2 linked regions of the Canis lupus familiaris genome follow. The protein of the gene in region 1 purifies or fractionates together with the protein of each later gene. This does not show direct contact. Links are inferred from orthologs where the notes say so. Each region holds a gene or a part of one and is shown on either strand. Other genes may lie near its edges.

Evidence for each region. Proteins that work in one complex are often made in the same cells at the same time.
Region 2: the proteins of SRRM2 (region 1) and EIF4A3 purify together in Homo sapiens (affinity purification with mass spectrometry; 3 studies listed by BioGRID and IntAct, with this or other methods). This does not show direct contact. The link is inferred for Canis lupus familiaris from reciprocal best matches to the Homo sapiens genes SRRM2 and EIF4A3.

Annotation. Positions count from the first base shown.
Region 1 is NC_049227.1:38,735,802-38,742,470, reverse strand, and holds the start of SRRM2 (serine/arginine repetitive matrix protein 2), read right to left. Parts: upstream 4,598-6,669; 5' UTR 4,583-4,597; coding exon 4,546-4,582; intron 2,376-4,545; coding exon 2,096-2,375; intron 1,248-2,095; coding exon 1,140-1,247; intron 956-1,139; coding exon 791-955; intron 599-790; coding exon 521-598; intron 1-520. UniProt on the Homo sapiens protein: Required for pre-mRNA splicing as component of the spliceosome. As a component of the minor spliceosome, involved in the splicing of U12-type introns in pre-mRNAs.
Region 2 is NC_049230.1:2,443,314-2,449,982, reverse strand, and holds the start of EIF4A3 (eukaryotic initiation factor 4A-III), read right to left. Parts: upstream 4,596-6,669; 5' UTR 4,537-4,595; coding exon 4,368-4,536; intron 2,648-4,367; coding exon 2,575-2,647; intron 1,988-2,574; coding exon 1,921-1,987; intron 1,486-1,920; coding exon 1,423-1,485; intron 850-1,422; coding exon 717-849; intron 522-716; coding exon 441-521; intron 1-440. UniProt on the Homo sapiens protein: ATP-dependent RNA helicase. Involved in pre-mRNA splicing as component of the spliceosome. Core component of the splicing-dependent multiprotein exon junction complex (EJC) deposited at splice junctions on mRNAs.

The sequences.
Region 1 (6,669 bases):
ACATCAGGCTCCTTGCATGGAGCCTGCTTCTCCCTCTGCCTGTCTCTCTGCCCCCCCCCCCCCCCGTGTGTGTTTCTCATGAATAAATAATAATTATTTTAAAAAAAAAGAAAGAAAAAGAAAATCCAATTTAAGATATTGCTAGCTAGTTCTCAGTTGGCAAAACTACAGAAATCAACCCTTTCCCACTCAAGAAACATACATATTCTTCCTCCAACTGAAATCTGAATTGTAACTCCCAGGACGCCTGGTTGGCTCAGCCTTTGGCTCAGGGCATGATCCCGGGGTCCAGGATAGAGTCCCACATCAGGGTCCTTGCAGGGAGCCCGCTTCTCCCTCTGCCTGTGTCTCTGTCTCTCTCTCATGAATAAATAAAATCTTAAAAATAAATAAAGAACAGTAACTCCCTCTTCCTTATCTGACAATTCTTACCTCCTTCCTAAAAGCAAGAACTCCTTATTTCCAGAAAGAAAAACAGAATTTGTTCAATAGCTATTGAGTAACTTTCCAACTAACTTACCGTCCTCTATCTTTCTTCTTTTTTTTCTTCTTTTGCTTTGGGGTTGGTGAGCGAGAACTGCTGGATTCCCGGACAAGGCTGGAGAAAGATAAAGAGTAGTAGAATAAAGACTAAGACATATCTTAGACATTTTAGCTTCAAAACAACAAAATCTGAACAGCTTGATTAAAAAAACAAAAACAAAACCCAACAAAGAAACCCCCACAGAAACAAAAAACAAAGCTTAGAATCAAGAAAAGCAGCTGATGTGGGTTCCTTGGCTTTGAGTACCTATAAGGTTTGGGAGGTTCTGGAGCTGGTTGTTTAGCTTCTCGAGCACGACGTTGAGGATCAAAAGAGCTGCCATCCACATACGAATCACTGATGCCAAAGGCAGCACGGAGTCGCTCATTTTTCTTCTCATTCAGTTCTGCCAACTGGTGAGTCTCAGTTACCCTAAGGGGAAAAAAGGCAAAGCTCAGAAAGAGTTAGCAAAAAACAGTCATAATCACATAACTGTAGGCAGCCAAATGAGACTGGGAAAAGAACATGAGAGCAGGCAGAGAGTACAAAGTAAAAGACGACAACAGAAGCAGCTATTTAGGGTTCTGAGGAAACAAGTAACAATTAAAACACTCACGCTGGCCTCTGTCCTGGGGTCTCTTCCTTGCCCCCAGGGTTCACATCCTTCTCCAGCAACATGAGTCGAAAGGTAGCCACTTTTTCCTGAATTTGCTGTTCCTCGTACCTAAAGAACAAATCCCTTCAAGGTTAAAGCTTGACTAGGCACTTTCCCCAGTCCCAAGTTTATAGTCTCCTCATTCCCAGGAGGATCCCTTTCCTTTCCATGCACACATAAAACTTCACTCACTGTTACCCAAAGGGCCTTTCTCTTAAATCTTGCTATTATCTTTCTTCTCTCTGCTTACTGAAGCCTCTAGAACAGTGGATTTTAAACAAGCTACACTCGAGGGGCCAAAAGAGTAAAGTTAAGCAGAATTCCAGGTGTTCCTCCCCAACTTCAACAGGCTATTTCCTGAGATTCCAAGGTAAGGTACACTGTATAAAAAGGGTGCCACTGCTGAAGTTTGAAAACCACTGCTCTAAAAGGTTTTCTGCCTGATTGTGCTCCAAAATTTCACTTCCCTACCCATCATCCCCTTATCCAGCTATTATTCCAGTTCTTCTTTTCCTGCCTTCGATATTTTCCAAGGCCTCAATCCTTTATATCCGTTTACTTTCCTCTTCTCTACCAATGGCAACACCTGTCAGCTTATACCTTAGCTCTTCTCTTGCCTGACACCTGCTTTCCCACCTCTCCCCTTAAAGTACATTTTTGTTTCTCAATGGCTCCCCCCTTTCCCCAAGGACCTTCACCTAAATAATTCAGACTCCCTCAGGCTTCCTCTTGTCGCAGTTACCTCATCTCCCACTTTGAGCTGTCCCTTAACTCCTTTCCACTTGCTAGCTCCTTAACCTCCTCCCCTCCTACAACTCCTCTCCAAGTCTCTTCAACCAGCCCTAAGTGCTCTACATCCCACCTAATTCCCCCAGCTCTGCACTCAGTGCTTGGCTCTCCCCCAGCCCTCCCCTCACCCCTGCTCTTCCATCATCTCTTCCAGCTCGAGGCATCGCAGCTCCACGCGCCGCTTGCGCTCGTGGTCCAGGATGTCAGGATTAGGCCGCTTCACCAGGGCAGCCTCCAGGCGCCGCAGTTCCTCCTCTCCCTTGTAGTCAGGCCGCTCACCCCGGCGGCCCCGCACCAGGGACAGGTTGCGCTGGACGTAGCCGTTGGTGCCGCTGCCCCGGGGCGTCGGCAGCCCGATCCCGTTGTACATGGCCCCGTGCCCGGGGGGAGGGGGGGGCACCACCGCTCCTGAAGGGGAGCGGGGAAACACGGGTCAGGGCCCTGACCCCAAACTAACCACCACCCAAATCCCTGTTCTCCTTCATCCCTATTTCAACATGAATCTCCACATTACACCTCCTTTAGCTGCATAATCCTCCTGGTCTCCTAACAAAAACCCTTCCTTACCTTTCCTATACTTTCCATTGAATGACATCTACGCTTACAGCCCTTTCCCCCCAAAATGCGAGAACTATTTCCATTTGTTTGCACCTAAATGTTCTTTTCCACCCTTAAAAAAAAAAAAAAAAAAAAAAAAAGAAACCTATTTCTCCCAAATTTCTCCACACTACCTCTTTATTCTCCTTTGGCCCCAATAAGCACAAGTGACGTCTCCACCAACCAATCTAATCCCAAACATCTGTTAACTGACTAGGATCTCCCAACACGGCACAACCACCACCATGGATCTGTGTCACCTAAAGGCCCACAGTCCAAGTTCAAAGGTTCTTCTAAAAACTGACCTGAAAACTTCAGACTACCCCGATACAAAAACAAAACCTACATATTTGAACTGTGGACTAATTGGTTCCAACATAAACCAAGTGTCCTGTGCAACCTCACACTCAAGAATAAAAGCCAGCACGCCTATCATAAACATATGATTCCTGAATACAGAATCCTCTTCTTCTTTACCTCCCAAGAGACCATTTCCTTGTTTCCAAATATTATAAGCTCCTATTACCAACCCCACCTAATAACTTATTCCTTTAATTTCCTTCCCAATAGGATTTCTTACATGATCTGCAGCTCACCCAAGTCTCGTTAGCTTTTACACATCATCTGTTCTCAACTCAATGCTCTGAACACATCAAATCAGCCTCCTCTGCTCCAACTACCCTGTACTCTCTACGTCCCTTGCCCTCAACTTATTCAGAAGCCCCCTCACACTTTATACCCATCTTCACTAACCTCAAACTGTCAGCTTTCCCTGGCAATCCTCTGTATCTGACTTCCTAGAGTTTCTCCTCCAGCCCTGTCTTATCCCTTTCATGTTATCTCCATGCCTCCTACCAAGTTCTATTTTCTCAACCTGTTCCAAAGAACCCTCAAACCCCCATTCTTCTGGTTAGATCGCTTAGTTACGCATACTCTATTTATTTTCCCTATTATGTATACTTTATTTCTTCCCTCATCTTATCCTGTCGAAGACAGCTTCACAGAGCGTAAATGAGGGAAAATTACCCCAAGAATAAAACCCAAAAAATAAGTAAAATTAGTTAAAGAGATAAAAATGGATAAAAGACTTATTTTTAAAATTCTAAAATTTTTTTAAAAAGTATACAAACACCTGGAAAAATATACTAAAACAAAAACATAAGTATGGGGAGACAACGAATGGAAGAAAAATTGCCGAATTCCAGAACTGCTTGTACCTCTATCCCCAAACTCTAAAGGCTGGATCCCTGCCCAATCCCATTAGCAGATCCAAGAAAGCTTGGGGGGGGGGGGGGGGGGGGGGCTTGGAAAAAAAAAAAAAGGCCTAAGGTAAAGGAGACAAAGCTAAACCTAGGAAAGGCAAGTAAATATGCACAAAAAATTGAAAAATCTCCTTACAGCACAAATCACTTTCTCTACCTTCCAATCTTCACTTCATTTTCTCAAATCCCAATCCTCCCTACTCTAAACCTAGGTCTCTTTCTCTAAACCCCACCTAATTTCTGCCTCCCATAAAGAACGCTTCTGACATGCAATTAATTCTTCAGCTTAACCATTCACCCACACTTCCATACCACCTCACACAAAAATCCTCCCACTCCATTAGGAGAAAAAACCAGTAGCTGCTGAGAAAAGAGTATTAAAACACAACGAATTGTAGAACTTTTAGAGAACAAGCCCCCCCCCCAATCCCACAGCTTCAGAGGCAGTCCTCAAAACACTAAAAGGAAGAACCTAAGGGGAACGTCAACACAGAGAAATAACCAAAAAAAGTAACTTTGTAATAAAACAGGCATTCTTAACTGGAGTCCACAGACTGGGAAAGCACAAAAGTTACTCAAGCTAAAGTCAGAGTAAAAATAAGCTGCAAAGCAAGACAACAGAGAATTTCTTTTGTTGGGAAATTTATCACAATGCCAAACTAACAAAGCGTTAGAAAGCAACCTGGAAATTCAATACTAAGATACTGAAGACAACGCACCAAAAACAAGGAGGTAGACGTGCAGGAAAATGGACATAGGTAAGCGCGGAGAGGGGGCATTTCGGTGGCTCGGAGGACACTATGGAACCCAGAAAGTTTGAAATATTAGTTCAAGAAGAAAACCTAATAGCACACACTTAAAACACAACACTGTCTCCGAATTTCTGGTCCAGACGACATCTTAGATAAGCGTGAGTGGAAATGAAGCCTCCGAGAGTTGGGTGCCAAATAATGCCTGAAACGGCGCCCAGCGATTCCTTCCCAAGGAAGGGCTCCAACGGCCTCCTCGGCTTTAACACAACTTTTGAGAAGACGATTATAGAGTGGAAAAATGAAAAAAAGAATTAAGAGAGACCCAGACTGCCTTTACGTACCTGGGCTGAACACGTCTTAAAAAAAAAAAAAAAAAAAAAAAGGTGGGGGGAGCAAGGTTTGCAGCGCCCCTCTGCCTAGCGCTTCGGGGCCCGACGCGCGGACACCTCGTCCCGGGCCTCCCAGCAGCGGCCGGGCTGCCGAGGCCTATTTTCGGCCTTGAGGCATGGGGGAGGGGGCTGCGCGGCGCCCGGGAGTCTGGGCGGCTCTGCGCCGGACCGCAAGCCCGCAGGAGGGCCCGGAGGCCGGAGGGGCTCGGGGGAAGCGATCGGGGAACTGGCCCCCGCCGCCGCCTCCCCACCGACAAAATGTCGGAAGGGGCAGCCGCGGGAGGGCCTCCTCGGCCGCACGCGTGGGGGAGGCGAGAAGCCGAGGCGCGCGCTCCCCACCTCCCCGCCGCGAGCGCGCGCGAACCCGAGAGCAGTCGGCGGCGCGAGCCGTTGCCATGGGGGAGGGGAGGGCAGTAAAAGCCCGCGCGCGACGGGAACCGAACGCAGCCGAGGGGGGGAGGGGAGGCAGGCGAGCGAGAGCGTCCGCACGAGCTAGGAGCGGCGAGCGCGCGTGCGCGCGGCGGCCTGGACCGTTCTCCGCGCGCTTTGGCCTCGCGCCGGGGGCCGCCGCCCCTCCCCCACCCGGCTCGCGCGCTCCCTCACCCTCTCACCCGCCGCCGCCTCCGCCCGCCGCCTCCGAGGGGGAGAGGTGTTGCCGCCGCTGCCGCTGCTTAAGCTCCCGAGTCCCTCGGGGCCTGGAGCTGCCGCCTCGCCTCGCCGGTCCGCCTGCCTGCCTCAGCCGAGACCGACGCCTCCTCGCTTCCTCAGGGGCCGCAGCGGGTTCCGACTGCGCCACTCGCACCCCGCCTGGGCCGCGCTGCACGTCAGCACGACCAACTAAGCGCGTCAGCACGCACCCGCGCGCGCGGCGCAGGGCCCGTCGGGAACCGTAGTACGCCCTGCGGCATTGTGCGCAGGCGCCGAAGCCACACCGGGAACTGTAGTTTCTTAAGGCCCGAGGGAGGGTCAACTCCACAGCCAAGGAACTACAAATCCCTTTAGCCAGTGCGACGAAGGGCGGGCGAGCGGCCCGAAACGGGCCACGTATTCCAGAGCGTTTCCGCCGGGAGCGGGGCGGGGCACAGGGCCTAAGCGCCACATCGAGGGTCGCTAGCGCGCTCCCCGCCCTCCCACTTTCGACGCAGAGCACTGTGGGAGTTGTAGGTCGTGCGTGCCGCGGGACCCGTATGTGGCTTCGCCAGGGACACGGCCGCCATTTTATCTCCCCATGTTTGGAGTTGATGGTGCGAGCCCAGCGACATAGCTGCTCCCGCGTGAGCGCGGGCTTCGCGGGGCGTTCCCGCGGCCGCGTCGCCCTCGGCCTTCAGCCCCCGAGAGAAGCCCCCGCAGCCCCCAGGCAGCGGGCACGCCCCTAGCTTCCAAGCCCGGCGTCAGGCGCAGGGCAGGGCCTGAGCCGAAGGCCGCGGCAGCTGCGTAGGCCTGGACCACCCGCAGGCCGCTGCACCCGGCGCTGAGCCGGCCCGTACCGGTGGCTCTGGCTGAGGAGGCCGGTGGCCAGGCCGCGCTCTCCTCCGGAACCTGGACAGGCTCTCCGGGCACGGCGGAAATGTCACAAACACTCTTGGTTGCTCACCTCGCACGGGAGGGCGGGTCTCCCGTTACCGACTTAAAGTCCGTTTCTCCAGCCGCTGTCTCCAAGCAGAGCGGACAGGCGCCAGGCTCCGCCGACCTTGGGCTCGCC
Region 2 (6,669 bases), on another chromosome or scaffold:
ATTTATCCTATTAACTGGTAAAAGAGTAAAATCAGCCTAGACAACTAACAGGACAACTAGTTAAATAAATGACAGTCTCTAGACAATGGGACGCCCCGTTGCCATAAATCTAGCTTCCCTGACACACCGTTGTGCCCCCCACAACCCACAGTAGGCATTTCTACACGCCTCATCTCAGCCGCACACCTCCCCATCTATGCTGAGCTCCAGACATGTGGGAGCAATGCTGCGCCAGTCTGGGCGGAGATGCTGTGGTTCTGGCCGTGACTGCTCTCAGCTCCCCAAGAGCCAAGTACAAGCTTCACGTTCACAGCTGCCCGGAGAGCACGAGGGCATCTGCTAGCACCGAGAACACTGGCGTTAGCTCCATGTTTCAGCTCCACGATGTGAACGTGTTAACATTAAAGTCAAGAGAAAATCTCTGCTTTCGTGACTCCTACCTTTATTTAACATTTCATCAGCCTCATCCAACACCAACATCTTGATGGCCCGTGTCCTCAAACTCCTGCGCCGAATCATATCTGTGGAATCAGTTTGATATCCTTAGACCTCGGACCACGAGGAAACAGCCAGCCATTCCCCCTGGTTTTCAGAGCATTTCTGAGGCCTCTTGCCTACTTCTTACATCACTTGCACGCAAGCGCTACCACACAGCACAGCAAATGGAAACGGTCCTGGGTCCTTCAAGCACTTCTTGTAACGCCCCAAGCACTTACCAAAGACACGTCCAGGTGTGCCAGCAACAACGTGCTGCCCGTAGTCCAGCTTCCTGATGTCCTCTCCCACATTGGTGCCCCCGATGCAGGCATGGCACTGCACATTCATGTAGTCCCCCAGAGCGAGCAGACCCTGAATTAAAACAAGGGTCACGTCTGGGGCCTCACCTCAGGACCAAAGTCAGAGACCTCCAAGTTTCCCCAAAGTGAAGGTAATCTCTACTCCGACATACCAAGTACTACTTATTCCATCGTTTACACCATAAAACTACAAAAAGACCCAACCTCCTGCTTCCATGCCAAAATAAAGTTCACTTTACTGGTTTCTTATGAAAGAAATACATTTTAATTACAAAAAGCCCTGGAAATACGTAAAACTCATAATTTTAGCCACTCACAAACAATTCTAACAACATCTTAATATAAAGTACAAAAATAACTACTAAAATGATTTCTTTGTTGAAAAAAACTACAATTCTGAGACTGCAAAAAGATACTGGAATCATACCAGCTACACTAAAAATGACTCAGTAAAAATGACTCAGTATAAACCAACAACATAAATCATAACAATGATTTATGCCAAAAATCAGGAAGTAAAATTTGAGGGAAAAAAACAGGATTAGATTAAATCAACCAGCCAACCTTTTACACCTGAATCAGAAAGCAGCACTTGGGAATACAGCACTAACTCTCAGTGGCTCACCTTCTGGATCTGCACAGCTAATTCTCTCGTTGGAGCCAAGATCAAAGCCTGGGTTTCACGAACCTGGTAAAATAATTTGTCAGAAAACAGAGAATCCTCAGTATTCTCAAGGCAGACTGCACGAAGTCAGATGCAGATCTATCTTGAATGTTACATCGCATTAACCATACATCTCATTTCTAATAGAGACAAAGGAACCTGAATGTAAGTTCATGTGTGAACCCAGTCATCATGGGGTTCACTGGGCAGAATTCTTGCTTGGCCACTAAAAGAATGCCCACTAAAAATGTCTCTCTCCATTTAGCTGACAAGGAACTTAGGACAGAGTATTAGTTAGCTCTCCTATTAGTGTGTAATTAAGAATATCATGAAAAATTTGAGTCAGTACAACTAAGTACACATTTTTAAAAACCGTCCTTTTCAGACACTGCAGTTACAAAAGAAACAAAAGTATTTCCAAGGATTAAAGATAAGTTCATTTGAAGACTGGCAAATTACCTGAATATCCAAACACTGGAGGACAGAAATGCTGAAGGTGGCAGTTTTGCCTGTGCCAGATTGTGATCTGTTCAAGAAAACACAGGTAGAGGTGAAAAAGGATGGGCTATGTGTTCCCACTCACCTCACCCCACCACAGCAGTGCTCCAAAGGACAGCTGCAGGACAGCTGCAGAACAGCGGCTTCCTCCTCCACTGCCCGGGGTGGGGTCACGAGCAATAAGGTAAGATCAGGAGGATGCAACTTCTGCACTAGGGGAGTCGGAGCCGCAGGATCTATAACCCTGACGGGTGTTACAGACTCCAAAAAAAGAGGCTCCCTTTTATAGAAATGTAATTCTCTTCTGCAATTTTGGACTATAACCGTCCTCCAAAAATAATTTTTCTTGTAAAGAAGTCTTTAAAATTAACACAAATCAGGAATAAAGCCATTAAGAGAGTATGCTAAACCATTCTGCATGCCAGCTGCTAGGTAAGTGAAGCTGGCTAAGAATATGACAGCTTTCTAAAGGACACAAAAACAAAAAACAAGACACCGTGGCTCAAGCTGAGGAAAGGGCTACTGACACATATGTGGAAAGGGAGAACAGGGGTCCCCTCAAAGCGCTGTACTCAGCTGACAAGCACCTAACCCCATTCTCTACCGGTGACGTACTGAGCAATGACGTCTCTCCCTTTAATTATCTGCTTGATGGCTCGCTGCTGGATGGCTGATGGTTTCTCAAAACCTGTAAAAAGAAAGCGAAAGTTCTAACATGAGGACACTGGCAGCTCCTTGGGACACAGATGGTATCTTTTTTTAAGCCCCCACGTCCACCCCTCTTAGCGCAAAGTCCAACACACCAAAGCTCAAGAAACAGCTGCTGAATGAATTGGGTTGAACTGTATTTTTACACTAACACAGATCTTATGTGCACAGACAAAATCTCTATAAAAGGAACATTGCAGAACGCAGAGACCCCAGTTAGATTACAAAACAAAAAACAAAAAAACACCCAAATGTTAATGGTGGTGCTCCTGAGAATGGATGGGAAAGGCTCATCTTTTACTTCAATTCCTCCTGCACTGCGTACGTTACGATAGCCTGCGCTGCTCTTTTAACATTTCCATTACTTTTTATGCTACAAGAAAGAAAAATGAATCCAGTGGCACCGTGGCCGCCCCCTCTTTCCTCTCTGCATCAGCTCTACACGCTGTCTGTGCTGTCTGCCACAGCAATGACTCTACGGCTCGGGCCGTTCCGCGGAGTGCCCGCTGCGCTCCTTCCACTTGTGATGCAGCTTCACCAGCTACGACATCACTCTAGAACGAGGCTACTTGGAGAGGGTAAAAAAAACATTTCCCAAGTAAACAAAAGCTCACGTGCATAAAATATATCTTAGTTACTCTTCGGTAGCCTTTTAAAACTCAGCCCGGACTTCCCGTCTAAAGTTAAAACTGTAACACGGATGATTTAAAAAACCCTCACAGCGACCATCCAAGCAAGCACACAGGCGGGGAAACTAAAAACAGTGTTTTGGGCAGGGCTGCCGGGGAGGCTGAGAGGTGGGTAGGACCATCAGCCTCACCTCCGCTTTGTCACCTCCCATCCCCTCTCTGCTTTACACCTGGTAACTAACACCAGGGACTGTTGGGTAAAGGGAGTTCCAGGCCCAGGCGTCAGCACAGAGGCTGATCGCCCCGGTCTGGACCCCCAACACGGTCTCTCCCCAGGCTCCCGGCACCTGCAGCCGGGTGGCTCACAGGCCCCTGAGACTCCCCTGCCTCCGAGGGCTCCCCACATGAGCAATCGCCAGCAGCACCCACCGGCTGCTCACAACGCCCGGGGAATCCTCAACCCCTCCCCGGCTCAACGTCATCACCTCCCCTGCCTCACCTCTCATGCCCCTTCTAGCGCACGGACTCAGAGGGTGCAGACCCCAGCGTTGCCACTCCCCTTGCTTCAAACCCCATGGCTTCCCTCTGCACTTAGGAACAAAATGCGAGCTGTTCTTCAGCTCACAGAGCGCTGGGCGAGATCCGGCCCTGCCTGCCGCTCCCGAGTAGCCCCTGGGCTCCCACCACGGAGCGCTTCCTCCTGGCCCTGGAGAGCACCCCGCTCCGTGCTGCGGGCTACTGGCACCGGCTGCTCCGTCGTGCCAGGGGCTCCTCGGGGCAGACCCGGGCTCACAGGTCAACCCCCCGGGAGCCCCCACCCGCCCCCTCGCAGCCATCACCAGCGCCCGAAGCATCCCGGCTCCCCGAAGTACCCGGAGCTCCCTCGGGGCCCAGGCAGCGCGGGCCCGGCCCCTGCCCGTCATCCGCGGCGGCAGCGCCCCCCAAGCGCCCGGGGACGACCCGCCGAACCCCCGACACCCACGCAGGCCGAGCGCAGGGTGCCCGGCGGGGGTCGCCCTCCACCCCGGGCCGCGCCCTCGCCCTCCCCGCCCGCGCCCCGCGGCCCCCGACCGTAGGCGTAGATGCCGCGCAGCAGGTCCTCCCGCAGGCCCATGGTGTCGAACGTGGGCGTCACGTCCACCTCCTCGCTGGTCTCGAACTCCACTTTGGTCATGTCTTCCTCTTTGAGCAGCCGCTTCCGCGCCGAGCCCGAGGTCGCCATCGTGGCCACGGCCGCCATGATCCCGCGTCGGCTGAGAGCGGAGCGCGCGCCGCGGAGGAAAGCGGAAGCAGGGCCCCGCGCCGCCGGCGCCAGGAACTGACGTCACCGCGCGCGTGCGCACGAGCGTGCGTCGGGACCCTGAGCCGCTCTCCGCGTGAGAGGGGCGGGGGCTGCTACTGCTCTCGCGAGGTCTAAGCTGCCGCGGGATCTCGCTAGGGGCGGGGCTCCGCCCAGGCCCTATAAATACGGCCGAAGCGGCGGGGATCGCGTATTGCGCGGGTTGTCTGCAACGGGGCTGGTGGCCCAGGGGAGCTCCGCGGAGCCCACAGCCCCTCCGCACCCTCCTCCCGCCGAGGCCTGAGGCCCGAGGCCCGGGCAGAGGGCGCCCGCTCGCCGCGACAGGTGCAGCGCGAACTTGCAAAGCGTCGCTGCTGCGCTGCACCTGCAGCTCCCGGGCTCCTGCGCGCTGCAGGGGAGCCCGCGCTGCTGACCTCGGGGCGCGGGAGCCAGTCTCGCGTCTGAGCCCAGACGTCCCCGAGAGCCCCTCCTGGACCAGCGTCACCCCCTGACCTGGCTCCGACCTGCGCCGCTGCAGGCGGGGAGTCGCGCGCGCCCCTTCCCTTGGTGAGGACTTCACTCCCTGTCTCACCGTTGGCGTGGCTCCCATCACTGGGCCTTTCATCCTCGGCGTCCTTCCGGGGCTGTTTGAGTGCTCCTCTGTTGTGAAGGTGCATTTACTTAAAAGTGGATAATTGGGACGCCTGGTGGCTCAGCAGCTGAACGGCTGCTCTTGGCTCAGGTCGTGACCTCGGGGTCCTGCAACCCTGCATCAGGTTGCGCACAGGGAGCCTGCTTCTCCTGCTGCCTGTGTCTCTGCCTCTCTCTCTGTGTCTCTCATGAATAAATAAATAAAATCTTTAATGAAAAAAAGCGGATAATCGTTTCATCCACTAAACCAGACATGCGTAGAGTTCAGTGGGTTACAATTCATTGGCAGGGAACAAGTAAACGAGGGCTACCTGCCTGCAGAAGCTCTGGCCTTAAGGGCCCAACATATTCAATCCCTATGGGATGGTTCATCTGATGAACACACCTGAAGAGAATGCTGGTGTTAGTCGAATTTAAATATTTCTAAACCTGACTTTCTTAGACTCTAAAATAAAACGTGAGTTGTTACATCTTCTTACTCCATGAAGCATCATCCCAAAGCCCTCGGGATGCCCTCTCTGAGGTTGCACACAGTTTTGGCAAGCTGTGGTCTAGGGCTGGGTTGTAAAGTACACGTGGGTTTCAGGGTGAAAGTATGTAAAATACCTGGTGAATGACCTTTATGTTGTCTGTAGACTGAAATGACAATATTTTACATATACTGAGTCACATAAAATATGTGATTTCAGTTCATTGCACCTATGTTTAAAATACGGCTACCAGGGCAGCCCCAGTGGCACAGCAGTTTAGCACCGCCTGGGCCCGGGGCGTGATCCTGGAGACCCGGGATCGAGTTCCACGTCAGGCTCCCTGCGTGGAGCCCGCTTCTCCCTCTGCCTGTGTCTCTGCCTCTCTCTCTCTCTTTCTCTGTGTCTCTCTGATAAATAAATAAAATTTTAAAAATAAAATATGGCTACCAGAATGTTTTAATTACACTGTATATGATACTCCTGTGGGACAGCACTGCTCTAGGTACTGAGCATGGAAAATAACCTTGCCATGAGTAGGAGAAAGATTAGTGACTTTACAAGTTGTGACATCAGTGAGAGAAAAAACCCTTGCGTTCCTACTAAGTGAGAAGAGGACAGCTGCCTCTTTGCACTTGTTCAGAGGTTTTTCATCTTACCATCCACCGAGGTTTGTCTTTGGCCTTCACACTTCTACGCCATTTCCCTGCAATGTGCCTTCGCTGTGTTTGAACACACATCTCAAATGCCTCTTCCTTTTGTTTGGGGCCAATAACTTTATAACATTTTAGGCCAGAGCCCATGAAAAGGACGAGAACTTCGTCAGGTGTCGTCTCTCCTGAACCGCGCTCACCGGGAATAAGGGGGAGCAAGGTAGACTTGGGTGTTTGTCCTTGGGGTTAGTCTAATAGGGTGGGATGACACCCTCCCCCAAAATACAGTGTGCGAAGTGAGTTGCAGGACACAGCAGAGGCTG